Notamacropus eugenii: one gene and its partners. The protein of the gene in region 4 binds, or shares a complex with, the protein of the main gene of each other region. Links are inferred from orthologs where the notes say so. Each region holds a gene or a part of one and is shown on either strand. Other genes may lie near its edges. The genes, in order: BET1L, STX18, STX7 and VTI1B.

What was found.
Region 1: VTI1B (region 4) and BET1L share a complex: the UniProt entries of both Homo sapiens proteins name them as parts of the SNARE complex. The link is inferred for Notamacropus eugenii from reciprocal best matches to the Homo sapiens genes VTI1B and BET1L.
Region 2: VTI1B (region 4) and STX18 share a complex: the UniProt entries of both Homo sapiens proteins name them as parts of the SNARE complex. The link is inferred for Notamacropus eugenii from reciprocal best matches to the Homo sapiens genes VTI1B and STX18.
Region 3: VTI1B (region 4) and STX7 share a complex: the UniProt entries of both Homo sapiens proteins name them as parts of the SNARE complex. The link is inferred for Notamacropus eugenii from reciprocal best matches to the Homo sapiens genes VTI1B and STX7.

The regions. Positions count from the first base shown.
Region 1 is NC_092873.1:28,167,692-28,173,208, reverse strand, and holds BET1L (BET1-like protein), read right to left. Parts: upstream 1,570-5,517; 5' UTR 1,454-1,569; coding exon 1,435-1,453; intron 1,298-1,434; coding exon 1,185-1,297; intron 1,060-1,184; coding exon 1,003-1,059; intron 900-1,002; coding exon 732-899; 3' UTR 523-731; downstream 1-522. Other genes in the region: SIRT3 (NAD-dependent protein deacetylase sirtuin-3, mitochondrial), read right to left, coding at 2,347-2,358, 3,678-3,887. UniProt on the Homo sapiens protein: Vesicle SNARE required for targeting and fusion of retrograde transport vesicles with the Golgi complex. Required for the integrity of the Golgi complex.
Region 2 is NC_092877.1:61,755,696-61,763,588, forward strand, and holds the start of STX18 (syntaxin-18), read left to right. Parts: upstream 1-4,882; 5' UTR 4,883-4,994; coding exon 4,995-5,168; intron 5,169-7,893. UniProt on the Homo sapiens protein: Syntaxin that may be involved in targeting and fusion of Golgi-derived retrograde transport vesicles with the ER.
Region 3 is NC_092873.1:217,747,398-217,754,839, reverse strand, and holds the start of STX7 (syntaxin-7), read left to right. Parts: upstream 1-4,418; 5' UTR 4,419-4,440; exon of another isoform or gene 4,441-4,559; 5' UTR 4,560-4,623; intron 4,624-4,804; exon of another isoform or gene 4,805-4,923; intron 4,924-7,442. UniProt on the Homo sapiens protein: May be involved in protein trafficking from the plasma membrane to the early endosome (EE) as well as in homotypic fusion of endocytic organelles. Mediates the endocytic trafficking from early endosomes to late endosomes and lysosomes.
Region 4 is NC_092872.1:312,456,949-312,463,911, forward strand, and holds the start of VTI1B (vesicle transport through interaction with t-SNAREs homolog 1B), read left to right. Parts: upstream 1-3,947; 5' UTR 3,948-4,414; coding exon 4,415-4,526; intron 4,527-6,963. UniProt on the Homo sapiens protein: V-SNARE that mediates vesicle transport pathways through interactions with t-SNAREs on the target membrane. These interactions are proposed to mediate aspects of the specificity of vesicle trafficking and to promote fusion of the lipid bilayers.

The DNA of each region.
Region 1 (5,517 bases), on a different chromosome or scaffold from region 4:
AACCCCTGCAGAGCTCCAGTGACTCCTCCTGAGGCGGCCGTCTGTCCGCACCCAAGCCCGCAGCCCCGGGGCAGCGCTGAAACCCTCCCTAGTCACAGTTCGATCTCTGCGCGTGGGAGCGGCCCGGAACGAGCAGAGGCTCGTTTGTTCTCTGGGGGCCCACGGGCTACACTGGGGAGACCCCAGTCTCTTTTCCCCACATCCTCCGCGTGCTGCTCTTAGGGCTAACATGGGTTCTCCTCGTCTGCACCCTCAGATTCTTCAGGCCAACCTCCCCGCCCACAAGGTGCCAGCATGGCGGGAAAATCTGGGATCCCCGGTCAGCTGTGCTAACGCCAGAGACAACAAAGACCTGCCTAGGAGCCCGGGCCTGGGGCCCGCTCTCCCTCCCCTTCCTTCCTGGGCCCTCCCATTTCACGCTTCGTGGGACTTCACGCAGACGCTGCGGGCCTTCTCCGTGGGGGCGGGGCTGGGGAAGAGAACTTGAAATTCACAGTCCGAAAGTTAAGAACCAGACGCGTGGCCGCTTGGACGCCAAGTCCCCGAGTCCAGGGCTGCCTCCGGCCCCACGCCCGGCCCGGCAGGCCTGGCAGCCGTGCCCACGGGGGCACAGGTGGGGCGATGCGAGCCCTGGGACCGCGTGGTTGGGATGGCTTTTCCCTTTTATTCTCGCCAAGGAGGGCAGGGGGCTGGTACAAAAATAGGGTCCGGGAAGCGCTCCACGGGCCCACTCAGGTCCGCGCTTTCGACAACAGGTAGGAAAGGAAGAAGAAGAGGATGACGAGCCCCACGGCCACGCCCAGGAGCAGCCGCCGGTGGTCCCGGCCCGAGCGGGTCATGCCGGAGAAGCGCTTCACGCTGCCGGTCAGCAGGCTGGTCACGCTCGAGAAGTCCGAGTCCTGGGGCACAGAGGGCGGGGTGAGCGGCCGGCGGGGGCGCGCGCGGGCACGCGCGGGCACGCGCACGCCGGCCCGGCCCTCCTCCCGCGCACGCGCCCCTCACCATGCCGTCCAGGTAGCGGTTCTGCTCCTCCGCGTCCCGGTCCATGTCCAAGGCCAGCTGGGGGGAGGGGCAGCGCCGGGGCTCAGTCGGCGCTGCCCCTCCCCCGGCCCTCCCCACGCCCACCCCCTCAGCCCGCCCCACCCCCGCGGCCGCCCGCCCCACGCCGCCCCGCGGACACGCACGGCCTTAAGGCGCGTGACCTTGGCCGCCAGCCCGTCCGTCAGGCGCTGGTTCTCGCCGTCCAGGAGCGTGTCCGTGTCCGTGTCCGCGACGGCGCCGCCCCCCGGGCCTGGGCCTGCGCGGAGCGGGAGGGGACAAGGATCAAGGGGGTCGGGGAGGGAGCGAGGGGGGCCCTCGGCCCCGCCCCCCGCCCCTCCCCCCAGCGCCGCCTCCCCCCAGCGCCCCCTCCCCCCAGCGCCGCCCCCGCCTCACCCCGCGCCCAGCTCGCCATGGCCGCCACCTCCCGGTGCCGCAGGAGCCGAAGGCAGTGCGACGCGCGTGCGTGCGTGCACGCCGGGCCCGCCCCTTCCGGGCCCGCCCCCGAGCTTCCGGGCCGCTGGCCCCGCCCGCGCCGTGAGCGCTCCGAGGCGGGGGGGGCGGGGGGGGTCAGGTTCCCGGTCAGGCCCGGCCCTGGGTCCGGTTAGATCCAGTGCGCATGTGTGAAGGGCCCACTGTGTGCGGGACCGCGTAACGAAGCCACGCCCGTCTGACCGCTTTGCTGGGGCCTCGCCCCTGGCCGTCCCCAGGCCCCCTACTGTGGCCGCGCTCCGCCACATCACGGGGGGCACGTGGAGCCAGGCGGGCAGAGACGTTCGGGGCGGTGCGCCTTTGCTGCCCCGTTGGCCTTGCCCGCAGCGGGCACCAAAGGGACGGCGCCCGTCCGGCCTTGTCCTAGGGGGCCCGGGCACCTTCTGTTCCAGCAGGATCGAGTCCCAGCTTAGCCTGGTCACTCACGTCCTCCCGGCGGCCCCCGGAGTCCAGCTCCTGAGGAAGCCACCTCCAGGAACGGGGCATCCGACTGGAGCCCCACTGAAGGAGGGCAACGAGCCTGCCATCCCCCCTGACGTGGCCTGGCTGCAGCCCTTGGGGATGCCCCCCACACATTCTTTTCAGAAGCTTTTGGGGGGGGGTGCAGTCTTCCTGTCAGATTGAGGGCAGGGTGCCTGGCAATTAGTAGGTGATTAATAAATGTTTATTGACTCTTGAGAGACCAAGCTTCCACAAGAGATCTTGAATTCATGGCTCGCGTGAAGGAAGAGGTGAGATCAGACACAGGGCTGAGAAGGGGCAGCCCCAGGCACTGCACCAGACCTGCCCTGGGTCCTGGTCCACCTCCACCACCTCTCAGAGAGCATCCTGTGAAGGAAAATGAGGGTTGAGGCCTGGACTCTAGCCCTCCCACCTCTCCCCCACCCCACTGCCCACCGTCTGGCACCTGCTGTGCCCCTTGGGGAATGCTGAAGATACCCAGGGCCCATGCCACAGCAAAGGGAGTCCACCCTCTCACATGAATGTCACCTAACTAACCTCTTGGTGAGAGAGGCATTTGTTGTCTGGAGAGAGTCTGGGGGGAACATGGGAACTGCTTTCAAGTTCAAATGGGGAACACGATCACGTGTTCACTTTGGAGAGAGAAAAGATACATAGGAGAGTGAGGGAGAAGGGAGAGAGGGGATAAAGGATAGAGAAAGAGGGAAGGTGAGAGGACAGAGGAGAAAGGGAGGGAGAAAGTAACAAAGGAGAAAGGGAAAGGGGGGAGGAGTCAGGGAAGGAAGGGGAGAGAGAGGAGTCAGATGGGGGGCGATGGCTGTCACATCTGTCTCCCCTTTTCTTGCCTCACTAAGGGCTCCTAGCTCCCAGTACAGTTTCCCAAGTCTACACTGCTGAAAGCACCGGTGTTCCAGTTCACTCCTCCCAGCCTCAACCCTTCATGGCTTCACTGCTGTGGCTGGCACCAGGCTCTCCACCACCCCCCCCCACCCATGACCCAGTGCTTCCGAGCCTGAGTGACCAGGAAGCACCAGGCTCTCCACCACCACCCCCCACCCATGACCCAGTGCTTCCAAGCCTGAGTGACCAGGAAGCTTCCCCTGCCCCCAGCAGTGCAGGACACCTCCTTGGTTTCCTCATTCTACCCTCCCCACCTCCTCAAGGGCTGTCCATTTCCCATGCGCATCCCCAGGGAAGGTGACAACAGCTGGCCGACCACATCCTCCACAGGACAGCCACAGCCAGCAGCATCGGGCCTACTTCTTGCAGGATTCTGACCCCAATACAGAGGTCAGTCTAATAGTCCTCACAGTCCAGAGTGTGAAAAAAAAAGATAAAAACAAGGCTTCTGATATATTAGGGACAACTAAAGGACACTAGAGGAGTCTGGAGTCAGGGAGTCCCCAGTTCAAATCCAGCTGAAGTCACTTCTGTGCTGTGTGTCTCAGCTTCCTCATGTGTAAGATGGGGATCGTAACAGCCCCTCCTCCTCAGGAATGTTACAAGATGATCACTGTAAACAGCTGGGCACAGTGCTGGGCACACAGGAGGTGCCGCACATACACATCAGCCCTTATCTCTATCTCTAATGCTTCTTTATTCTGCCTCAGACCACCCCAGGAGAGGGCGCCTCAGCCATACGCAAGCTGAGACGCTCCCATGCTAGCCTCCCAGGCCTCCCCTACCTTGGCAGTCTCTCTTTGGAGAAGGGCTTCTATCTCCTCCGTCCAGCCCAGGGCCTTCACCAGAATCTCCACCCCGCTGATGATGTCTCCCAGCTGGACCACATCATTATGACGAGGCTGCCAGGCAAACGGTCCCACCAGCTCTCTGTTGATCAACACCCGAGGGACAGACCTTCTTGATGCTTGGGACAGGCTAGCGAAAGGCTCCACCTGAAAGAGTGGCAAAAGCCCACATCACCCAGCCATCTTTCAGAGGCTCCCAAAGCCCTGGGAGCTGCTTGCTATACAGAGACTGCTCCCCCAGCCAGCATCATCTCATCCAACATGTCTCAGAACGTCTCCAGAGATCTCCAGGAATGGGGTGTGCAGCCTCCCAGGGGCTCCTGGTTCTGCCCCCAGGGATGGGGGGCTTCCCCTGAGGCTTCAAGTACCTTCCAATGTACAAATGCCATTCCCTCCCTCCATTCCTTTCCAGCTTACTCTGGAAGCCTGGGAACTCCCCAGCTCAAGAGGACATTCTTCATTTCCCCTCACTTAATAAAAGCTGGCCTAACTGAATTGTGGGTAAGACAAAAACAAAGAAAAAAGAGACAAAACCAAAGTCTCTGCCCTCATGGGAGGAATTGGTTTGGCTTGACTCTGCTGACTTGTTACAAAGACTGGGTAGACAGAGGGAAGGCAGGGTATTCGAGAGGAAAAGGTGATAAGTCAAAAACAGGGAAGACCAAAGGGTTTGGTAGCCCTCAGCTTTGGGGAAAACCCTCTGCCCCCAGGCTCTATCAGCCACGGAAGGACTCTTCCTGACAACTCCCATGGATCCCTATGGCCTTTCCTGGCCCCATGCCCACCATCTCCCAACACTGAAGCCTTCCCTCTATATTGTACATGCCTAGTCACTGACCTGTCACTCCCCCTTCTGAATGTGAGCTCCCTGAGGGCAGGGCCTGGCTTTGCCTTCCTTTGTATCCCCAGACAGTGCTAGCACACTGTAGGTGCTTAATAAATGCTTGTTGACAGGAAGTAGTGAACCCAGTGAAAAGGGCAGAAGAAGGTTCCTCCGAGGTCTTCCCTTCTCCCTCAGCCTCTCACTTGACCAAGGCCATTTACTGCTGGTTCCTTCCTTTCCTTTCACCTCACACCCCTGGACTCATGCAGAGCCCTCTGCCCCACTCCCCAAGGCCAGCCTTTCTTCCTGGACTCAGTCCCACCCCTACTTCTTCTCCAATCTCTCAGGGTTTCCTGGCTCTTTCACCAATGGCAGCAAAAACACCCAGGTTTCCCATCTTTGAAAAGATCTCACTAGGTCAGCTTGTTTTGTTAAACTGTTTTCTGATCTTTCTTGTGAATGATACCTGTATTGTAGGTGGGGGAAAGGGGATGTGTTGGGAAATGCAGGTGAGGGGCCTACAAAATCCCTCCCTGGTCACCACCCCCAGTACTTCTTCCTCTTTCCTCAGCCAGAGTCCTAGAAAAACTTGTCCACATCTGGTATCTTTCACCCCTGGGCTTCAAACTGCCCCCTCCAAAAAGACCAAGGAATCATCCAAATTGGCCCCGCCTGCCTCACTGTCCTGGATCAGACCCTCTCCTCCCACCCACCTGGCCTCTCTTCTGCTCCTCCTCCTCTTTCTCCTTGGCTGGATCCTCCCCCAGGTCCTGCTCCCTACCTGTGGGGGGGATCTGTCCTGGCCCTTCTCTCTCTCCTCTCTCACCTGGTGGCCTCATCAACTCCCATAGGCTTGTGACCTTTATGCAGACAATTCCCAAAGTGCCCTGGACACCTCTACTTGCATGTGGTCCACTGTCCCCACCCATCCCCCTCTGTCCAACCTTCCATCCT
Region 2 (7,893 bases), on a different chromosome or scaffold from region 4:
GTCTCTCCTATTTTACTATAAAATCCTAGAGCCTTTGTCTCTTTTCCATCTTTATCTCTCAGTGCTTAGCCCACAGCCCTATTGATGGTAGGTAGTTGATCAATGTTTGTTGAGTGTAATTTGTTGAATTGTATTATTACATGTGATTTTTTTTTACCTTAAAGCTCTGTCTAGAAAATTAAAGGAGAATTTTTAAAATATCTTTCCTTACAAAGGTGTCATAAAACAAAACCTAATGCACACGAAACTGATTATCATTTCTCCCACTACTCTTACTTACAGATACTTTTAGATGGTTAAATAACCCTTTGAATTATCCCTCCTCTGCCTTTCCCTTCCTAAACTGTATAACATGAATCCTCAGATCAGTTTTATGATCAGAATGACTCAATTTTACTGTGAAAGAGCACTAAATGAGGAGTCAAGAGACTTGACTTCCAGCTCTTCGACTAACATTTTGTGAAATTGTGCAATTCACTAAACTTCCTTGGCCCTTGGTTTCCTCATCTGCAAAATAAGGAGGTTGGACTAGATGCTCTCGAATGCCCTTTCTAACTCTGTGATTCTATGACTATTTACCTTGATTGAATTAATCCAGATAATTACGAATTCTCCACTTTGTGCTTGGGGAGACACAGTCATAACAAACTAAGCAAAACCAAATGCCCTTCAATATCCTGTTGTGAACTATAAAATGTCCTCTAAAAATCACATTTTCCCCTTGAAACAGGATGTAGGAAAAGTATTTTCCTATTAAATTCTTTAAAGTTCAAGCTAAAGTATTTTCTTCAGTGTCTTGACGTCCAACTCAATATATAGGACTCAGACATCTTAATTACAGAAGACCCCGTGAAAAGCAAAGAAGGTGGAAACTTGCATTGAAAACCAAAGCATTATGCCAAAAACCAAGGCAGAAGTTTTCTAGGGGGAATTTCCACTCTGTATCAGGCAGTTAGCTTCTGCCATGTTGATGATTTTTTATAAGATGACTTGTGAAACTCCTGGGGCAGATTATTAGGAAAAAGTTGAACAAAAATTCCAAGGGAATGAAGGATGAGGGGAAAGCGAACTTGAACTTTCTACATTATTCCTTCCAGTACCATAAATGGATGCCTGTTGAATGGATTAACAGTTTCCCCAGAGTTTTGACTTATCCTGGTTAACTCAGGTTAAAACTATTATTTACATGATTTTATTTATTAGTGAAATGAACTCTCACACTTAACTTAAAAGGAAGATCTAGAAATTGGCAGGGTAACAGAAATGATCATGGAAAAGAACAGGTGTGCCAAACTGGACATATTTCTCATCTACCTGAATAAGCATTTTTTGGATGTGTGGGAAGAAACATGTGCTGTAGCTCAGTGCTGAAAACATAGGTGATAAGAGTTCATAGTCTGCTCCCTGTGACTGCAGGCTGTGACAAAAAGACGTGATAGCTGAGGCAGGAAAGGGTGAGAAGGCAGTGCATCCAACTCCTGTGAAGCAAGGAGGACCCGAGATCGTATCTGAGCTCTTAGAGTTATGAGTTGTGTGAACCTGGGCAAGTCATTTAACTGCTGTTTCGCTCAGTTTCCTCATATGTAAAATGGGGGTAATAATAACACCTCCCTTCCAGGGTTATTGTGAGGATCACATGAGGCAATAATTGTAAAGCACTTAGCACAGTGTCTGACATCTAGTATGTGCTATCTATATATTATTATTATTCCTAGCCAATTATCATTTAATAGTTAGTATTTTATAAAATGCTTTAAGATCAGCCTCGAAATCATGGTTCCTGACCTCAGCAAATGTGGGACATCCTGTTTCTGTGAAGATGGGAAGATTTCTTCAAAGGTCTGGGAAAAATATTTAAGGCAGCCCTTTCTCCATGATCTTTGAGCCTGGGCAGTTGTGCTATATATCCTTCAACAAATCACTCATAGAAACATGTGTTTTGTGTATTGTGCTCTACTTTCACTTTAAAGTGGCAATTACCATGTAACCATTTTTTTCCTTTCTTTGTTTAGCATATTTGCTGCTAATGTTGGTGAATAGACATTGAATGTTGATCACTTCTCCAACATCTGAAATCATTCCTCAAGAAGATCTCCCAGGTATTGATTTTGTACCTGATATGAAATCCCTACCTGCCAATATTCAGCTAAGACAAGGAGACTAAGGGACAATACGGATTTCCTATGGAGTCAGGCAAAAGGGATCCAAGATGAAGAACAGATTGATCTTTGGGGAATGAACAATTAAGAGAAAGGGAAATCAGTCAAGACTGGTACTTTCACAAAATCCTCACCATCTCTAATTATTAATGACTTTCTCCCTTGAAATCCACATTGCACTTTGCAAATCTCCAATGCACTCATCAGATAGTGTATGGAATTATAATTATATGTGCTTGTGCCTTAAAGGCAATAAACATATCTATTCTATAGGAAGGACATGCTTACTATGTGCCAGGCAGGTACTGTGCTAAGAGCTTTTCAAATATTATCTCATGCTCTTCACACCAATGGAGGGAGTTTAATGTTATTATCCTCATTTTACAGAGGAGGAAATTGAGGCAGACATTGATTGAAAGACTTGCTCAGGGTCACATAACTAGTTAGCTATAGCAGTTACTTATATATTTTCCTTTTCTCTCTCTCTTTCCAATTTGAATGCTTTGAGGAAATTTGCATACCTCTGGATATGCCTAATATTATGGGGATAATAAGAGTTGGAGATGGAGAGGAGGAAGCTTGAAGAAGGTGGAGTGAGAAAAGAGAAGTTTTTTTGTCTTCATTTTAGGCTAGGGAGTTGGCATGGAACATTTGGAAGACTGGAGATACTCACTCTGGTTTGAGAAACAGGTTGGGTGACGGCAGAGGCAAATGGTGCAGTGGTTAAAGTACCTGACGTAGAGTCAGGAAGACTCTTCTTGAGTTCAACTCTGGCCTCAGACTTGCCAACTGTGTGACCCTGGGCAAGTCACTTACCATTGTTTGCCTCAGGTTCCTCATCTGTAAAATGAGATAGAGAAGGAAATAGCAAACCTCTCCAGTATCTCTGTGAAGGAAACTCCAAATAGGGTCTCAGAGAGTCAGTCACAACAGAACCACAGAGGCATAAATGCATAGTTGCCGTTGTTTTTCACGTTTTTCCTATTTCTAAGCAGTTAAGTTCTTGACATGTACACTCATTCCTCTATTAGATTTGCTTTAGAAAGTCACGAAACACACCACCCCTGGATGTTTCAGCGATACCTCACTCTTGAGCCAAACCTCAAACTAGAAAAAAGTCACCAATTTTCTGAATTCCTAAGCAAAGTGAACCCAAGTTCCTAAAAACAAAATAAAATAAACTTTGCACAGCACAGGTACTCAGTTAAGTTATTGTTGAATGAGCATCTAATTAACATACCAAAGTCTTGCTTTTTTTTACATTTCTTTATTTCTTTTCAGAATAACACTAAGTGAATTGGTCAGAATTCAACAATGCATCTACTAATGTTCCAAATTCCGTGGAACCAGACCTCCCCAGATGAACTTCAGTGATTCATTGTAGTGTAGAAGAGACTCTGGAGCCTCAAAGGCTATTTCCGGGGGACTGCAAATTCCTGTAACTTCTGTGAAGCAGACAACGCAGCTAGGTGGGGCCGTGGAAAGATGCTGACCTGGAGTCAGGAAGACTTGAGATCCCGTTCTGTTTCAGTCATTTAGGAGATCCTGGGCAAGACATTTAACCTCTCAGCCTGTTTCCTCATCCGTCAAATGGACATAATAGCACCTGCCTTACAGTATTGTTGTGGGTGCTTCGCAAGCCTTAGAGTGCTCTATAAACGCTGGTTATTATAAGTTAGTAGTTTCCTGGAGGGTCAATCTAGCTAAATATGGAAGCCTGGCTATTAGTTGATGGATTCTTAGGTCACTGAAACTGCATAAAAAAAATTAAATGGCCCTCAGCCTTTTTTTGTTTTTGTTTTTTTGCAATGACAGGGGATGGGATGGGAGTGGAGAAAAAGGCACCAAAAGGGGCAGATGCTCAGAACCACATTTAGGATTTTGGTTATTGTTATACATTCCACCACGTCACTATTTCTCAGGTCCTCACGATGAGTCGGGGAGCCACAAATCGTAACTTGATCAGAAAAAGAAAGCTTAAACTAGGCGTGAAGGCGACTCCAGCTCACCCCTTCAGAATGTAAGGTTCTTGAAGGCAGGACCCTTGGCAGGTGGCTGATCACGGACGTGAATAAACCATCTCCTGCAGGACTTCAGGCAGCTTCCACAACCTCTGTGGATTTAGAACACAGGTCTGGACCAGCGGACCAGTCAGCCTGGGCCTCAGTTTCCCCATCTGTAAAATAAAAAGGGGGGGTTGGGCCAGATCAGGGCTCTTAACCTGGGGTTCAAAAACCCGTAAAATTTCAGAGGGATATACGACCAGCAATGGGGGGGAAGGTGACGTTTTTATTTTCACTAAAGTCTCCCTGAAATTTAGCATTTGCTTTAATTATTTAAAAACGTGAAGGGGGTGGGTCCAAGCATTTATTAAGCGCCTTCCATGCCTGCCCTCAGGCGGCTTCCCGTTTAATCTGGCGCCCGGGGCCCTGAGCCTAGTCCGACCCCCTGGACCCGAACCTCGCCTGGTCACGCACCCTCTCCGGGCCTCAGTTTGCCGGCCTCTACGCCCCGCGGCTCCCTCCCACCCCCTCTACACTCCCGGGATTCCCAGGCCAGCGGATGCCCGGAGCGCAGACACCCGTGAGATGGTGGGGGGGGTGGGGGGAGAGGAGGGGCGTGGCGTGGCGTGGCGTGCGCGCTCCCGAGAAAAGGGGCGGGGAGAGCGCCTCCCGGGAGCGCGCAGGTAGCCCGCTACTTCCGGCGGCTGGGACGGGCGCGGAACCTCGGTTGCCTGACAGCGGTTGCCGGGGGGAGGGTCGGAGGGACGGAGCCCCCTCTGTCTCCGTAGTGGGCGGGGCCGGGCGGACACGGTGGCTGCGAAGTCGGGGCGCCATGGCGGTGGACATCACCCTGCTGTTCCGGGCCAGCGTGAAGACCGTGAAGACCCGGAACAAGGCCCTGGGGGTAGCCGTCGGAGGCGGCGGCGGCTCGGACGGCGCCCGGGAGGAGCTGTTTCGCCGGAGCCCCCGCCCCAAAGGGGACTTTTCCAGCCGGGCCCGGGAAGTGGTGAGTGAGTTGCCAGGGCAACGGAGGAGGGGGAGGGGGCCCGGCCGTGGAAGGTAGCCGCGTGGAGTAGCGGGGCTCCTGGGCTTCCCTCTGGTCTCCTCCCGCTGTCAGTCGGTGAAACCTCGCGAGACTCAGTGTACCCCGTCTGTGGAAGGACGCGGCGGCACCCGGTGGTCCCCGAGGTCCCTCCCGAAGGCTGGCACTTAGCTTTTTACGTGTTCGTGGATGGCTTGAGACCTTTGTGGGCCTCAGGTGTCTGGTCTGTAAGAGGAGGGTGGCACCGTATTGGCACAGCCATAAGGTGCCGTAGAAATGTTAGTTGTTAGTAACCGCAACTCCTCAGCCTTTATATCCTGCTTCAAGATTTGCAAAGCATTTTACGTGTGTTTCCTTTTATCTCACAACCACCCTGGGAGGTGGGTGCTGTACGTTATCCCCATTTCACAGATGGGGAAAGTGAGGCACAGAGAGGCCAAGTGGCTTCCTCACAGTGTCACCTAGATACTGCAGGGAATGATCCCCAAACCCCTTCCGGTCCTGACATCATATGAATCAGCGTAAGGTGGTGGGAGATGAGTGGGGTCCCTGCCCCAGGCAGACATAGGATGGGCCTCTTCAAGTGTACCAGTGATTGTCCTGTGAAAGAGATTAGACTTGGCCTAGAGGTCAGAACTTAGGTGGATGAGTACAGGTTGATGAGGGACAGGCTTTGGATATAGTTCTTTAAAATATTGTCTCTGACACATGCCATCCCAGTGACCTTGGTAAGTAACTTTGCTTACGTGGGCTTCAGTTTCTTTAATGAGAAGCCTTGGCTGGATGGCTTCTGAGGACCCCCTCCTCCCCCCAGCACTAGTGGAATTTATAGTACTGTGATCCTAATGAAAGGTGAAATGGGCTTCCTCTTCACTGGAGGTCTTAAAACCGAGGCTTAGATGCTTACATTTGTGGATATTGGAAGGCTCATTCTCTCTGGAACAGGTTGAATCAGATAAATGTCCTCCAGTTTTTTTTATTGTGCATCCTTACTAAAATGTTTTTAAACAGGTATCTCCAATATGTATGTATTTACTTGTTTGTAAATTTATAAATGCCTGTTAGCTAGGTTTTATGAAGTGCCTACTATATACTAGGCACTGTTCTGAGCATTGGGGGTTCAAACACCCCCTGCTCTTGATTAACTCACACTCTAGTAGGAGTGAAAATATACAAACTATGTACAGATGAGATTTATCCAGGATGAATTAAGGGTAGTCTCAAAGGAAAGGATCTAAGATTAAGGAGGACTGGTAAAGGCTTTTCCTAAAGGTGGGACTTTAGCTTGAGGCTTGAAGTCTCAGGGAAGGTAATAGGCACAGATGAGGAAGAACATTTCTAGGTATGAGGGTCAATCAGTGAAAATATTAGGAGTTGAGAGATGGGATGTCACATGGAAGAAATATCAAGGAAGCCAATTTCATTGCATCACAGAGTACATGGAGTTTTTTATATTTAATTCTAGGGGTAACAGGGAACCATTGGAATTTATTGATTGGGGTGACATGGGCAGACCTGTGCTTTAGGAAGATCACTTTGACAGCTGAGGATGGAATGGAGTGGGGAGAAAATTGTGGCAGGGAGATCAAGCAACAGGCTGTTTGTAATAGTCTAGGCGATAAAGGCCTACACCAGGGTGTGGCAGTGTCAGAGAAGGGAATGTATGTGAGAGATGTTACAAAGATAAAAATTAAAGGCTTTTGTCCAGATTGCAGAGACAAAATGAGCGCACCTAGCATACGAAGGGAAATGATATACACACTCCCTCTGTATGTGTATGTGTATGTATGTATATAGTTTTGTTTATATATCTTGGATACCAAATCCTTATCAGAGAAATTTGATACAAAGCTTTTTTCTTGCTTACTTCCCTTTGTATCGCAAGTGCATTAACTTTTCTGTGTAAAAGATTTCTGTTGTGTTTGACATTTAAAGTCCATCATAACCTAGTCCTACCTTTCTAATCTTCTTAAATTTTACTCCCCAACACATACTCTTTAACCCAGTGACATGGCCTCTGCCTGTTCCATGAATGAGACACTCCATCTCTCAGCTCCAGGCATTCTCTCTGGCATTCCCTTGTACCTGGAACACTCCCTTCCACTGTTCAGACTGCTGACCTCCCTGACTTCCTTTAAGTCCTAAATAAAATTCTACTTTCTAGAGGAAGTCTTTTCTAAATCCTCTTAATTCTATACCTTTTCACTATGAATTATTTTCTATTTATCATGTACATAGCTTGTTATATATTTGTTTTCGTGTTGTTTCCCTCATCAGATTTTAAGCTCCTTGAGGACAGGGATTGTCTCTTGCTTCTTTTTGTATCCCTGTGCTTAGCATAGTGCCTGGTGCATAGCAGATGCTTAATAAATGTTGATTGATTGATTGATTGACATGTAAATCAAAGGAAGCTTGTAGTTTTACTTCACAGATTTGAAAAGATGACCAAAATATGGCAGTACTCAATGTTAGAGGGGTTGTGGAATAATAGGAACACTAATACATTGTTGGTGGAGCTGTGAGATGGTACAGCCATTTTGGAAAGTAGTTTGGAATTATGCGACTAAAGGGACTAAAATGTCTACATACTCTTTGGAACAGAGACCCCACTACTGAACTTATATCCCAATGAACCTAATAATAAGAAACAAGTCCCCACATACACCAAAATATTTATAGCAGCACTTTT
Region 3 (7,442 bases), on a different chromosome or scaffold from region 4:
GAAGAGAATTCAGCCTCACACAGATACGTTTGGAAAAGAGAGAAACATTGCATACAACTGGAAGTTAAGATATACAGGCAATGGAGTATAGAAATCTATTTTGCCCTACAGGAAAATAGAGGGGAAAGGGAATGGAAGAAGGGTGGGTAAAAGAAGAGAGGACAGACTGGAAGAAGGGGTGGATGGGGTGCATACTGTCCTAGGTAGGGGGTAGGGAGAGTTGGTGTGAAAATTTTGAATTCAAATTCTTGTGGAAGTGAATGTTGAGAATTGAAAAATAAATAAATTATATATTAAAAAAAAGAAAAGATTGAAGCATTTCATAATTGTGAATATCTTCTTTGATGCTATATCAAAACTTGACCAGTTACTGTTACAAATGTAGTGGTAATTGACAAAGGTATGAATCCAAAACATTATCAATAAAGTTTTTATACTGCTATATTAAAAGTCATTGTTCCATATTGTGCTTTGAATGGATCCTTTACTCATTCATGGTTTTATAGCATCCTGCTTTGATCATTTGGAAAATATTGGTTCACTAAATTATACATAACTTCCAAATGTTGATGCATTTCATTATACAACATTGTAAAATCATATTTATTTATATCACCCCTAATCTCATCAGAAAAATCTTTAAGTGTTGGAAAACTTTCAAACTCATTTTTGGTAGACACACATTTTCCAAAATTCTATTTTTGTTGACATTTTAAATTTTGTCTTTAGCAACAAATTCTATCAATTGTTTTCCTTGAAGTAAGCAGACCATTGCACTTATTTCTGGAAAAAAAAAAAACTACCATGTATCCAAGTCTGAATAACAATAGTGTGTCTTATTTCATTCAAGTAAAAATGGTGATCTATGAAAAAAAGTGCTTGTTCATCTGGCAACTCACATGATTGCACAAGTAGTCTTCCTGGAGACAACCATCACTCTTCAGCATGCAGCAGAAATGGTTTATATATATACTTCCCATTTTGTCACACAGAATACTAAAAAGACATTACTGAAATGTTGAGATTTAATAAAATTAATATTTTCTATTACTTCATCAAGGACATTCTTAAGTTAAACTTTTTTTTTCATTGCAGGTGAATGGGGATGATGAATACAATGACTACTGGTAAAGTTTAGAGTCCATCCCTTGATTTGTGCTGTGGCACTAGGAGTTTTATCTAGAATTTTGTAACATCAGCACAAAAGTCAACACAGTTGCTCCAGGATAAGCCATGAGATTCAAAAAAGTTATTCAACACTTTGTGTATTTCAGCACCATTTGTGTTTGTTGCCAAGAATTCACATAAAGTTCTTCAGTGATTTGCTGGAATACAAGCAAAACATCAGGTTTAACCATGTTCATACATTTGTCCAAATACAATTCTGTAGATGAGATATCTTCATTATTGCAGCCAAATCTTCATTTCACATATCAGTGGAAAACTGCACTATACAATTGTGAAAGGATAGTGAAAAAAGCAAATAACATCTTAGTATTATTGTGAAAATAACTTTGACCTTGCAAACCACTTGAAAGGGTCTCTCTAGGACCTACAGGAATTCTCAGATCATACTTTGAGAATAGCTGTTCTAAAGGAAACAGATATTTCTAAAACAAATATGTGATAAAGACCACTCACTTCCTTTCTGTTAAGACACAGTCAGTTTCATAGAATTACAGAACTTGAGAGTTGGAAGGCACCTCATTGGCCTTTAAAAGGTGATCATCAAAAAAAATTCCTCTAACTTCTTTATAAGTTACTAGCATATGAGCATGAAACTTCTGAATAGTCTATAAGCCTCTGTGCCTTTTGGTTTCTTATTATTGTACCATATTCTCTATCTAATCTTACCATTCTCCTTATACCCACTTTTGTCTTGAAGTCAGAGATTCATTTCATAGATAGATTCATTATTGACACAAAGTAATCTGTCTCTCTCCCTCTTCCCCACTTCATCTTCATGCATAATACTATATGTATGTATTTGTGTTCATATGTATATTCCCACCTCATCTATTTCATTTTCTACAGTAGGTGTTAGTACAAGTCTTCATGATGGATTTGTTTGTTCTAATTAATTAATTTTGCTTAAGCTCATTATATGTGCTTTAGGGTGAGAGGGTCTAGTACCATACAGAAAATTGTATTTCTTGTTGCTCCCTTTGTTGATCAGTGGTCACAATAAGATGTGAGTCTTACCTTCCAAGGAAAAATTCAATCAAAATATTTTTCTAGCCAGCACAATGAGTCCAAACAATGACCTCACCCCTGTAACCTTTCCAAGTTGACCTTCTCATCCACCATCTACATTTTATTTACTTTGAGCAAAGCATCTATTATCTTTCCATGTCAGACAGCATTTCTCAAACACAACAAAAGTTTGTCTGGTTTTTCTGACTTTACAGTAATTTCACATTAGGATTAGAAAGACTTGCCTTTCTCCAGGCATTTAAAGCCCTTTATACCTTTTTAGTCTTCTGACATTTTACTCTCCTCCATTCATTCTTGCCCCAGTTATACTGGGCTAATATTGTAACAGCAAGGACCCCAGCATACATAGGAAGGCCTGCTATATAGGTTCTTAGATCTGTTTTTCTAAAAGGAAAGTAACTTTTAAAGGGTCAACAACCTACTTTAATCAAAGCATATACATCATTCACTTGGTTTAGGGGGAAAAGTCAGCACCCTGAACTTCAGAGAAAATACAAACAGAGAAATAAAGATCAACAGACAGATCCAACTGTCTGACCATCTATGCATAGTTAGAAGAGAGAGAAGCACCAATATGTGGGTTTTCAAAGCCAGCAGACTCCTTAGTGGCTTACCAGAGTCTTATATGGCACACAAACCTTCCTTCAAAAACTAAGCCCCAAAACAAAACTTCATCTCAGAGTATTTATACACTTTTCAGAGCTAGAGGGCAGGACCCTCTGAACCAGTGTCTCAGTAGAAATTAACAAAAGGTATTGAGGCTTATCAATGGGCAGGTAGTGAAGATCTTTAACTCTTCCCTCCACCTACTATTAACCTTAAATTACCATTACTACTACATACCCTCAAGTAGCATATTCTGTTTTTCATCTCCATACCTTTGCACTGGTTCTCCCCCATGCCTGGAATGCTCTGTCCTCTCACTCCTATCTTCACCTCAAAAATGAATCCCTAAGACTCATTTTAAATTCTGCTTTCTACAGGATGGCTTTGCCTATTACTCCCAAATGATAACACAGAGTACCCTTCCAGATTATATATGCGTAAATATATATTCATGTGTAATATATGGAAATATGATACTATAAATAGACTTATCTGTAAATATATGTGTTTTAATGATGTGGTTTGAGAGGTTCAGGGACCCTTTAAGGACTGAAGTACAGAAGAGGGTTGTCTGAAATTAATTCAGGAACTTGGGTAATCTTTAAATCAAGATTGCAAAAGTTTATTGTAATGCAAATATGACTGACAGAGCTCCTTAAGAAACTTGCAACTTAAACAGGAATGATGCTAAACTTTTATAGGAAATGTAGTAGATTATCTGGCAGATATGCTAATTAGGTGATAACATATAACACACAGGCCTCATTCACTACTGGAAGTCAGGGGAAGGAAGGGGTTTCTCATCTGTGTTTTTTTGGTCCCTCTGCAGCAAGATAGCTTTGAGAGTTGATATCTATAGTTTGACTTCTGGGTTGTATACTATAACTTTGGGAAACAATACATGATGATTCTGCTGGTACAAGAGAGTCTTGTTTTTACAAGAGAAATTCTACAAAGGTCAGATTGTTCTTGGAAGGGAGAAACATAGTTTGTCTTACTGGGGCCCGCTGATGAGTTATTGCTAGGCTGGGGTAAAAAATTGTCAGGGATAGTGTTTTGAGGCAAGGGAAAATATGATGTTGGAAGAGGGGTCCACTATCAGCATCAGTAATGTAGGTAAATACACATATCTATCCACATATGTAATCTAGGTGAATATAAGATGTATACAGATAGTCTGTATATACACATATAGAGATCCATACAGTCTATCTGTTTATTTATATATCTTAAATTGACCTAGTTATTTTGTCTACTTATTTACATGTTGTCTTCCCCCTTCCCCGTTATCTTAGACTGAGCTTTTAGAGATCAGGAACTCTTTTTGGGGGGGTCCCCTATTTTGTGTCCCTAGCATTTAGCACAACAAACGCTTCTTGGCTATCTGACCGCCATCACACTCTGGATGTTACTTTTCTTCTGCGCCTTTACATTTTCAAGCCCAAACTGTGACATCTTTGTCTCCATTTTCAGGCCAAAACTGTGACATCTTTGTCTCCGTCAGCACAAAGTCAAAAGCAATAATCGTCTCTCTCTTCCCATTTCTAGGCGGAGAAAACTGGGCAGAAAGGGCGGGCTCTGACTCCACCCTGAGCCCCAGAGCGCGCTTCCTACCTAAGGGTGAGTCGGAATGGAAGTTCCGGACACGTTCATTGCCATAACTGCCAAGGGGTCCGTGGAAAAGGGATTCTTTTGGCAATGAAATGCAATTTAATCATGCCCATGCTTCACACCAACAGGTTGGGATCTTCTGCGTCCGCAGAGGGCGGCGGCGGCTTTCTTCCCGGTAAAGGAGACGGACAGGTAAGCTGGCTCCTGACAGTACACACCTACCGAAGGGCTCAGCTACGTCTGCTCGCCGACTCCCTGCTTCGCGCAGAAAAAAGGGCGGGGCGGGCAGGAAAGGGTGCGTGTCACTCAGCCCTCGGGGCCAATGAGAGAGCTCGGGGCCCGCCCCCTTTCCTGGGCTCTGCGGCCGGGCCAGCGCAGCAGGGAGGCGGCTGCTGCGAACCACCGCCCATCAGCTGAGAAATTCAGCCGGGTGCCTTCCGGGACGCTTAGGGGTGGCCGTCGGTGGAGGAGGAGGAGAAGGTGGAGGTCTCGGTAAGAGGACGTCTGGGGCCCCTGGGCCGTCTGGCGCCCGCGGAGCGGCGCCGCTGCCCTTGCGGCCTGCCCGCCGCCTGCGGGGTCTCCGCAGCCTTCCTCCGGCGGGGTGTAAGGCGCTGTCCGTTGGCCGCCGCCCTGGGTTTTGCCGCAGCTCCTGGACAGGGCGGCCTGTGCCGCGGGAGTCGCAGCCACGGACCGGGCGCTGCTTGTCCCCGCCTCCCTTCCCCCTTGGCGGGGGCCGGGGCGGAGGAGGCCTGAGCAGTTTCTAGCTGCCTCGGGGCTGACGGGCGTTTTTTCCGGACCTGACAGAAGGCCGGGGGGATGGGGGATGGGGGGCTAGTTCCGCATTCCCGCCCAGCCCAGCTGGCCCCGGGACGGCCGACTGGCCTCTCCCTCCCGGGGTGAGCCGGCGCCCGCCCCAGTTGTGTTCCCCGGTCTCTGCCTGTGCTCCTGCGGTCCCTGTCGCCTCTGTATTCCCAAAGCGCTGCCACCTGAACCTGTTGCTGAGAGGGCACTGGAGAGTAAAGCCAGTGCCCATGCGGGCACCAGGGGAATGTGACTTGGTGTAACACTCCTGTCCCTCTGCCTGAGCCCTCCCAAGGCTTCTCTTTCTTTGCTCATCCGGGCATGAGCACCATGCACAAAGACCACTGCACACGTGAAGTCAGGAGATAGGGAAACAGCTCGTGGTGTTCCGTCCCCTGATTAAAAGTTCTGCTGGGAAACATTGCCACAAACCCTGGCGGAGCTAGCTGACGAGAAATTCATAATTGTGCCCCTGAGGGATGGAGTTGACCTCTTCCTCTTTTCAACTTGTGTTTAATAAACAAGTCTCCAAGTATCATTCAGGAACTGAAAAAAATAGACTACTGTACTGAAATAAATGAACCATAATTTGTATTGTCAGGAAGTCACACGTTCGGTTAAGTTCTTTTGTTGACTTTGGTTAAAATTTTTAATTTTCAGTTACTTTTTTAAAAAGTTGATTATTATGAGTTTTTGAAACAAAGCAGAGTCCATGTTCTTCCTAGTCACTTTTTTTCTTACATTTCCCGTAAATAAAAAAATGCATTGCCTGGGTTACATCACATTTTTTTTAACCTTTCAAGTTATTTTAAATTGAGTAGTTATCTTAAATGTATTGAGGTTGACGTTGTTTGCACTGCCTCCAATATATTCCAGCTATGCTTGTTCAGAACAACTTCCTGCCTATGTGTGGACTCAAGCAAATCATTTTTTTTCCAGTTTTGTGAAATACTTCTCAGCTTGGTAAAGTCCTGATAGCTTAGCAGGCAGCCCTTCTGGACTAGCCTGTGCCACACCTGTGCAAAGATTGATAATGGTTCTGACTTAAGTCTTGTGATATGGAATGAGCAGCAGTAGCAGGTTGCTTCAAACTTGTGACTGCAGGATTATGTTCTGGATTCTTAGTTTCCACATCAGTTAATAAGAGACCATATTAACTCACTAACACTCTGTCCCATCTTTGTTTTTTTCTCCCCTCTGGTCACTTTACTTTACTCCTCATGACACAAATCCTCTAAATTCTAGTCACTAGTTTTCTCTAAGTTCCAAATATTTGGTGCACACAAGTAATACAGGTGTGAATAAAGTAAGAATGAACTTAAATATGGAATTCTAATTGATCCCAAATTTGGGTGCTTGTTGTGGTGAAAGTTGTGGTGAACATGAAAAATCTTTATGGTAATGTAAGCTGAGATTGAAGAGATTTTGGATGGGCTAGAAGAGCTCTGAAGTGAAGCAGATGTTTTTAAAAAAAAAAAAAAAGCTCTAGAGAGAGAATCTCCAAATAGTCTATGATACTTTCTATACTGGGGAACAAGTTTGTCGACTACATATTGTTACGGAATAATAACAATAAGGGATAGGTATTGAACCTGCCATTTCATTGACATAGAGAACTCCCACATGTGGAAACTGCTTCTACCAATGCATATTAGCACGTTCCCTGAAATTTGTAGTTTTAGAGAGTTGCCTAGAACGGTGATAGATTAAATGAATCGTTCAGGGTGTGTACATCAGAGGCAAGACTTGAACCCAGGTCTAACTACTACACCAGACCACCACAGTAACAACCATAATAAACACCTTCTAGTGTTCAGGTCCTTCTAGACCAGATGCAATTGATGCTTTTTTTAAAAGGCACTTGAAATTTGATAAGACTTAAGTATTTCTACATTATACTTCATGCTTTCTGTCTGTCTTTATTATCAGTGTTCTGATAATAGCATTCTAAAGCTTTTTCAAATAACAGAAGAAATAAAACATGTTCTAACTATCAGAACCAAATTCATCAAATGAGAGAGTTTGGTCCTTGAAGGCATTCTTAAATTCTGGTTCTTCTGTGTTGTCATTGAGTCGTTTCAGATGTGTCTGACTCTCTATGACCTTATTTTAGGCTTGGCTTGGCAGAGATACTGGAGTGGTTTGCCATTTCCTTCTCCAGCTTATTTTGCAGATGAGGAATTGAGGCAGACAGGGTTAAGTGACTTGCC
Region 4 (6,963 bases):
TAATTACTTAAAGGTCAATCTGATTAGATTTTGTCACATTTTACAAAATTATATTAAGTCTTATCACTAGCAGGCATTACCCAGAGAATCTCTACAAGTGCCTAGAACCTGAAGATGGTTGAGGAAATACCTCCACAAACCTGGCTTGATCCATGCATAGCCCTTTGAGATGTACAAGAGGTATTTATCAGACTTCTGAAGATCATGGTCGGTGCCAAATGACTTCACACTCTTTAAGCTACAGCTATATTGGGTTTTGTATTCATCCTATTGTAATTTTGCTTGTTTTATTAGCCATATGTGTGTAATGGACCTTTTACCTGTCTGCTTGGATTGATATGATTTGGGAACCAAGGACTTTGAACTGCAAGTTGTAACGTCATGGTTTGCCCAGTGTTTAATGCAGAGACCCATTTCATGGTCTCTAGCTCCCTTTCTTGTCAACAGTTTAACTCCTCAAAGAAGAAAACTGTGACAAAATGGGGGAAGGTGATGGGCTGTACCAATAGAAAATCTGCAGGCTGAACTGCCAAAGCCTATGGGCTACAGGTATGTTGTGGTATACAGAGACCAAGTGAGTCATTCAGTAGGGATTTTATCATATTCTGCTGACCAGTTATACTGCCACCAAGATTAATAAATGGAAGACCTGAATACATCAGTCTGCCATGACTGACCTCTGAGCAGCAAAGGAAGAAATTCCTGATTGACTTCATGGACTCAGTTAACCTGGAAAAGGATCCCAACACCAATGACTGTTTTTTGAAGGCTTATTTGTTTCACCCAATAATTAGGACCTAATCCTTCACCTGTTATCTACTAGAGACAGAGGTGGTACTCCACATAGTAAATCCAATTCCCTTGCAAGTCATGACATCACCTTCCTGATGTTATTATTGGTCAACAAAGGACAAACAACACCACCTATCCTTAAGCACTGTATGGGTGTTGCCTCAGACAAACAGACCTAAGACCTTAGCTTAAAAAAGCCAAGGTCTCCCACTACATCTCTGGCCATCTCCATATGTGCGGATCTATATCTTGCCAATGGACCCGAATGGTTCTGGAGGAGAGAGTGAAGCTGTTGACTTTGCACAGCCTTCCCTCACTTAATTCCAATTCTCTTGCAAGTCATGGCATCACCTTCCTGATGTCACTAATCCTCAAGAATGAACTATGTATTTGCTGTTTTCATTTTATGCCCAGTTTTATGCCCTTGGGGTTGGGAGAACAGGAGAGTCTAATATTTATGTGTCTGATCTAACATGCCAGCTATGCCTTTAACTGAACCAACTGCTGAATAGGTGCACATGTCCCTTTGTTCTTGGGAGAAGGGATGCCCCTAGTGGGTGAGGGGGTCAAACATCCAGGACTTATGTGATTCTGTTTGCAATCAGTAAGGCAAACTTAAACAAAAACCAAATTGTATTACTATAGATTGGAAAATGACTCCTGATCAGTCACTTTTAATTGGGAAAAAATTCAAAATTTTTGACCCTCCTCAACACCTTTCGCAGTCCTACTTGTAATTTGGGATTTGGCTTGGGAATCAGCACTGTGTACAAAGGGAGGTCCTGTAAGCACAAAACAATACACAATCCCTTTGAGACATACAGGAGAGAACCCAAAGTATCTGCAAAAGATTTCTTACAGAAGATGGAATTTAAGTCAAGACTTGAAGGAAGCCAGGAAGCAGAAGTTAGAAGGGAACTTCATGTAAAGGAATGGAGTTGGAATAGGGAATGGCATTTTGTGTCCATCCTTCACTGCTGAGGAACATCATACCATCAGAAAAATAATGACATGACTTGCACTTGACTTTGTTTTGAGTGTGGGAGGGCTGTGCAGGTCACCAGCCTCACTTCTCCTCCAGAGTCATCTGAATCCAGTGACCAGATATTCATCAGGATGACTGGAGATGGCCCAAGATGCAATGGGAGACCTTTAGGCCAAGGTCTTTGCAGGTACTTACTTAGGGTGAGGCAACTCCCATTCATTGAATAGGTCTGTTTAAGAAGTAGCCAGGGCATGGCTCCTTTAATGAGGTTAAGAAAAAGAAAGCCATCAGGCAGGATGGGAAACAGCAACAGTTACTATTGATAATCACTCTCAAGCTAGGAAGGTCCAGAGAAGCCTTCAGGCAGGGCCCCAATCAAGGAACAGCCAGTAGGCCAGTGTATGGATGGATGGTGGTGAGGAGTAACTGTGTAAGAAGGCTAGAAGGGTAGGAAAGGGTCAGGCTGTGAAAGGCTTTAAATGACAATAAAGAGATTTATATTTGATCTTGGAGATAAAAGGGAGCCACAGTAGTTTAGTGAATACTGAACTAGGTGGTACAATGGATAGTGCACTGGGCCTGGAGTCAGGAAAGCATCTTCCTGAGCTCAAATCTGGCCTCAGAAAATTCCTAGCTGCGTGACTTTGGGCAAGTTCCTTCACCCTATTTACCTCAGTTTTCTCATCTATAAAATAAGCTGGAGAAAGAAATGGTGAACCATCTTTGCTAAGAAAACTCCAAAGAGTCAGACACAACGGAAAAACAAGTGAAAACCTTCTCTCAATTAAGACGTAAAAGAACAGTTTATACTACAACATCAATATGATCAAAATGAACAATTTTGAAGGCTCTTATAAACTACTAAAAAATTAAATGAGCAGAAGCACAATAATTCTAGACAAAAACACTGTAAAAACAACTTTGAAAGCTGTAAGAACTGTGATTAATACAATGACACTTCATAACTGCAGAAGAGGGACAATGAAATATACTATTAGAGAGATGATGAGGAGACAATTTGATATAGTCAATAGAGAAATTTATAATTGTTTATAACTGACAATGTATAATTGTTACAAAAACTTTCCTTTTTTAATCTTTTTTTAAAATGGGAGAGAAAATAGATTACTGTGAAAAAAAAATTTTTATTGATGTTTTCTTTTCCTTACATATCTCTCCCTCATATCCTTTTTCCCTCCCCTTCCCAGAGAGCCATCTTTTGTGTAACAAATAGGTGCAGTTTGTTATTTTTTTTTTTTTGGAAGAAAGATCAGTACCACTGATTGACATGCTGAAAAAATCAGAAAGCATGTGCAACGTGTAACACCCCTGGACCTCCCACAGGAGTGTCTTCTCATGTTTCTTCATTCCAGTATACCTGATCCGCCTAATTCTGTTAATTTCTGATTTTTTTGGTGTGTTGCATGCACTTTTTTTTTGTGGATTTTAAATTTATTTTGTTAAATATTTCTCAATTACATTTTAATTTATTTTTTATTTTTTACCTCTTTTTTGTGGATTTTAAATTTATTGTTAAATATTTCTCAATTACATTTTAATCTATTTTTTATTTTTTCCCCTCAATTATATGTCAAACAAAAATTTTTAACATTCTTTTAAAAAATTTGGAGTTCCACCTCCTTCCCCCCCCTCGAAGGCAAGCAATTTGATATTGATCATACAGGTGCAGTCAGGCAAAACATTTTCATATTAGACATGTTGCAAAAGAAAATGCAGACCAAGAAAGCCCAAGAGAAACCAAGTAAAAAAAAATATGGCGCCTGCACTTTCAGACGAGGTCCCTGTATTGAGTTGTACCTGTTTTAAGAGACCTCGTAACGACGCGGGAATAATCTATAATTTTAAACAAAATATCAATAAAGTTTAAAAAATAAAAACTTGCTAGGATTAGGAAAATCACCTTGGCTGCTATGTGTAAATCCTCTCCGGGACTCAGTTGCCCGACCTGTAAAAGAGGAAGCATCAAGCCTTCAGAGTTAATAAACCAGTCTTAGCTGGAGAAAAAAAAAAAGAGAGAAGCAGATAGTCTCAGTGGACTGGCACGTGACTATGCGTGATGACGCACAATCCGATCGCGTCTTGGGGAAGCATGTCGCCTTATCACCGGGACTGTCACGAGTCGCTTACGTCGAACTACAACTCCCTCAATGCACCGCGAAACCACAGCTTTCCTACGGCCCTGTTTTTTTTTTTCTCTCTTCCATTATCGCCTAGTGCAACGGGTGACTCTTAACTCTCGCTCACCCACTTGTGACAGCTTAGTCGTCTCCAGTCTGGCGCCCAAATCACAGCACGGCTCATGGACGAGAGAAGAGAGATAGGGTGGCTTCGGCTTCTCCCTGCCTTACGCGGAAATGTTTTAGGTTTCTCATCAGGCATATCTTGGATTGCCCCCGGTGGGTGGCAAGGTGGGACCTCGTGGAGCGATTTCCGGCTCTAAAGGACCCCGCTGCTTCAGTCTCCCGGAAGCGCCTAGCCTTCCGCTGTGGCGACGGTCGAACTAGCTGGGGGCCATGGAGTCGCTAATACGGCGGTTGAGCCCGACGCTGGGCTAGAAGCGGGCCCCTCGGCCCGGGACCTCGGCCCTGCCGGTGTCGGGGAAGCTCGCCCTACGCCATGGCGGCTGCTGTGTCCTCAGAGCCTTTCGAGAAGTTGCACGAGATCTTCCGCGGGCTGTACGATGAGCTGCGCGGGGTCCCCGACAGGCTCCTGGGAACCGGGGGGACCGGTGAGTCCTCTGGGCCAGGGGGGCTGGTGTCCGGGGATCCCGAGGTGCCAGGGACCCCCGCCCCCGTTCTCTTAAATTTCTCCATTCCTCCTGGGGCTTCCATCGCAAAGTTGCGAGGAAAGCTCTTGGGGGGCACCGAGGCTCCCCAACTCCAGGCTAACCCGTCGTCGTTTCCTAAGTGCCTCTGGGAGCGCTTTTGTGTGCCAGGCACGCTGGGATTACAGTGGATAAAAAGGGAAGATAATGTCTGCCGTCAAGGTCCTTAACCACTCAGCTGCTAGAACCATCTTATTAAAGCACAAGTCCGACCAAGTCATCCCCCCCCCCCAAAAAAAAAAAAAAACCAAGACAAACAACCAAAAGTCCAGACGCCGCCGTCTCCAGACTCCAGGCATTTCCTCTGGCTTGTCCCCCATGCCTGGAGTGCCCTCCCTCTTCGTAGACATCTCCCGATTTCCTTCAAATTTCATCTAAAACCCCACCTTCTACAACAGGAGGCTCTCCCCTGTACCTCTGAATTCTGTCCCCTTCTGCTGGTTGTGTTCAGTTTACCCACGTCTGGGGGAGCAGGAGCTGACATTTCCCGGGCTTAACCCCGTGTTTGGCGCATAGTAGGCCACCTACCTACCCCCCGACCCTTTTCTTGAAGATGTCTTGTTGTTGTGTTTGTCCTTCGTTCTCGAAGAGGAACATGACATCAAGATGCCGAGGTGACTCCAATGAGGGGACAGTCATTACCACTGGGGAACCAGCCAGAGGCTCACCATTTCACCAAAGGACAGCTGTTGGGGAGCTTTTTTTCCTCCATTAAGTCAAACCTATATTTTCCTCTTGGCCATTCCTCTTCATTCTGCCCTGTGGGAACGAGCAAAACTACCTCCTCTCATTTCAGCATCCCAGTTCCTTTTCCACTCTTCTCCCAGCTAAACATTCCTACGTTGTTCCACCAGTTCAAATATGTCAGGTCACGTCTTTGAGCTTTTATTGTGCTTGGTATGTACCAAGTACTGTGCTGAGCCCTAGGCACACAAAGAAAGTCAAAAAAATAATCCAGGTGTTCAAGAAACTTACAGTCTAGTGGGGGTGACATTCTGACAGCAAAGGAGATATACAGGTTAAATTGGAAATACTTGCAGAGGGAAGGCAGCAGTGTCATTAAAGGGCATGGGACCCTTCATTCTCCTGGTTGCCCTCCTCCTGAAGCTGTTTGCTTTACTGAAGTCCTTTCTAAAATCTGGTGCCTGGAAAGTAATGAAATATTCCGTGTGGTCTGACAACAGGGCACTGCCACCTCCCTCCTCTGTGCCTTCCAACATAGCTTCCTTTGTGTTGCTTACTTAGTGGGGCCGCTGACTAGTGCTGGGGATGATGTGCTTCTCCCCTAGTTTTGCTTTTTACTTAGGGCACCTGTCTAGTCTTATTTCAGTACTAGTGTATCAAAAGTTCAACTGCTTTGTAGTTCTGGGAACTTCACTTCAGATACAGCTCCTCTTAGACTCTTCTAAGTATCCTGCATTGTTGAACTGATTCAGTTATGTCAAGTCAGCCGTCTTCTATGTGCTCTCCTCACCATCTCAGCTGTTCCTTACTGGAAGCAGCATTAGAGAAAGTTGGTTTAATTCAACTGAAGAAACTTGACCAGATAGAATAATACTTCTTAAGCTCTTTGCACACCTCAAAGCCCTATGTAAATGTTAGATGCCATTAGTAGTAATCTTTAGGCACTGTGCTGAAGCCAAAACATGGGGAATTTGTGTCAAACGGTATTAGAGTTAGGGATAAGTTAATAAGGGAAGTTGAGGAATGTCTTGTTTTTCTGGATATTTAAAAATAGAATAGATTTTCAACTCTGATGGTTTAGGTATGGCCTTCTAATTTTTATCCTTATGGGTTCAAGGTGTTTCTGTTTTTAAGGAGGAAATAGTATTCCTTTTCACTTAAGAGATCATAAATAAGCCACAATATTAATGAAAAACAGCATGCATTTTTGATTTACCTTTCGTCTAAAGTCTAGTAATACTTGAGAATTCATTTTAGAGATAAGAAGTATGTTCTCTGTGCTTAGAGGTGCATGTGGCAACATGCAGTGCTTGAGATTTCTAGCCTGGTGCTATGTGATGCATAAGTACAGCTTTCTTTGAAAACCAGAAAACTCAGTACATTGCATCTGTTTCATTCTCAACCTGACCTTCTCTGCCTAGTCCTTTATCATGGCCAAAGAAGGAAGGAGACAGGTTTGGAGAACTGTCTTTCAGATAAATGTAGTGTCCACTCAAATTGCACTGTGTCCAGTCAGTTACTTCTTTATCTTTTAGGCCTTTCCTTAGCCTCTGAGATCATTTCTTAGCTGTTTAAAATATTTTTTCTATATGTGTGAAATATTAGGTACCGTGCCACAAACATACACCTCATAATCCTTACCTTTACCCTCTATCCT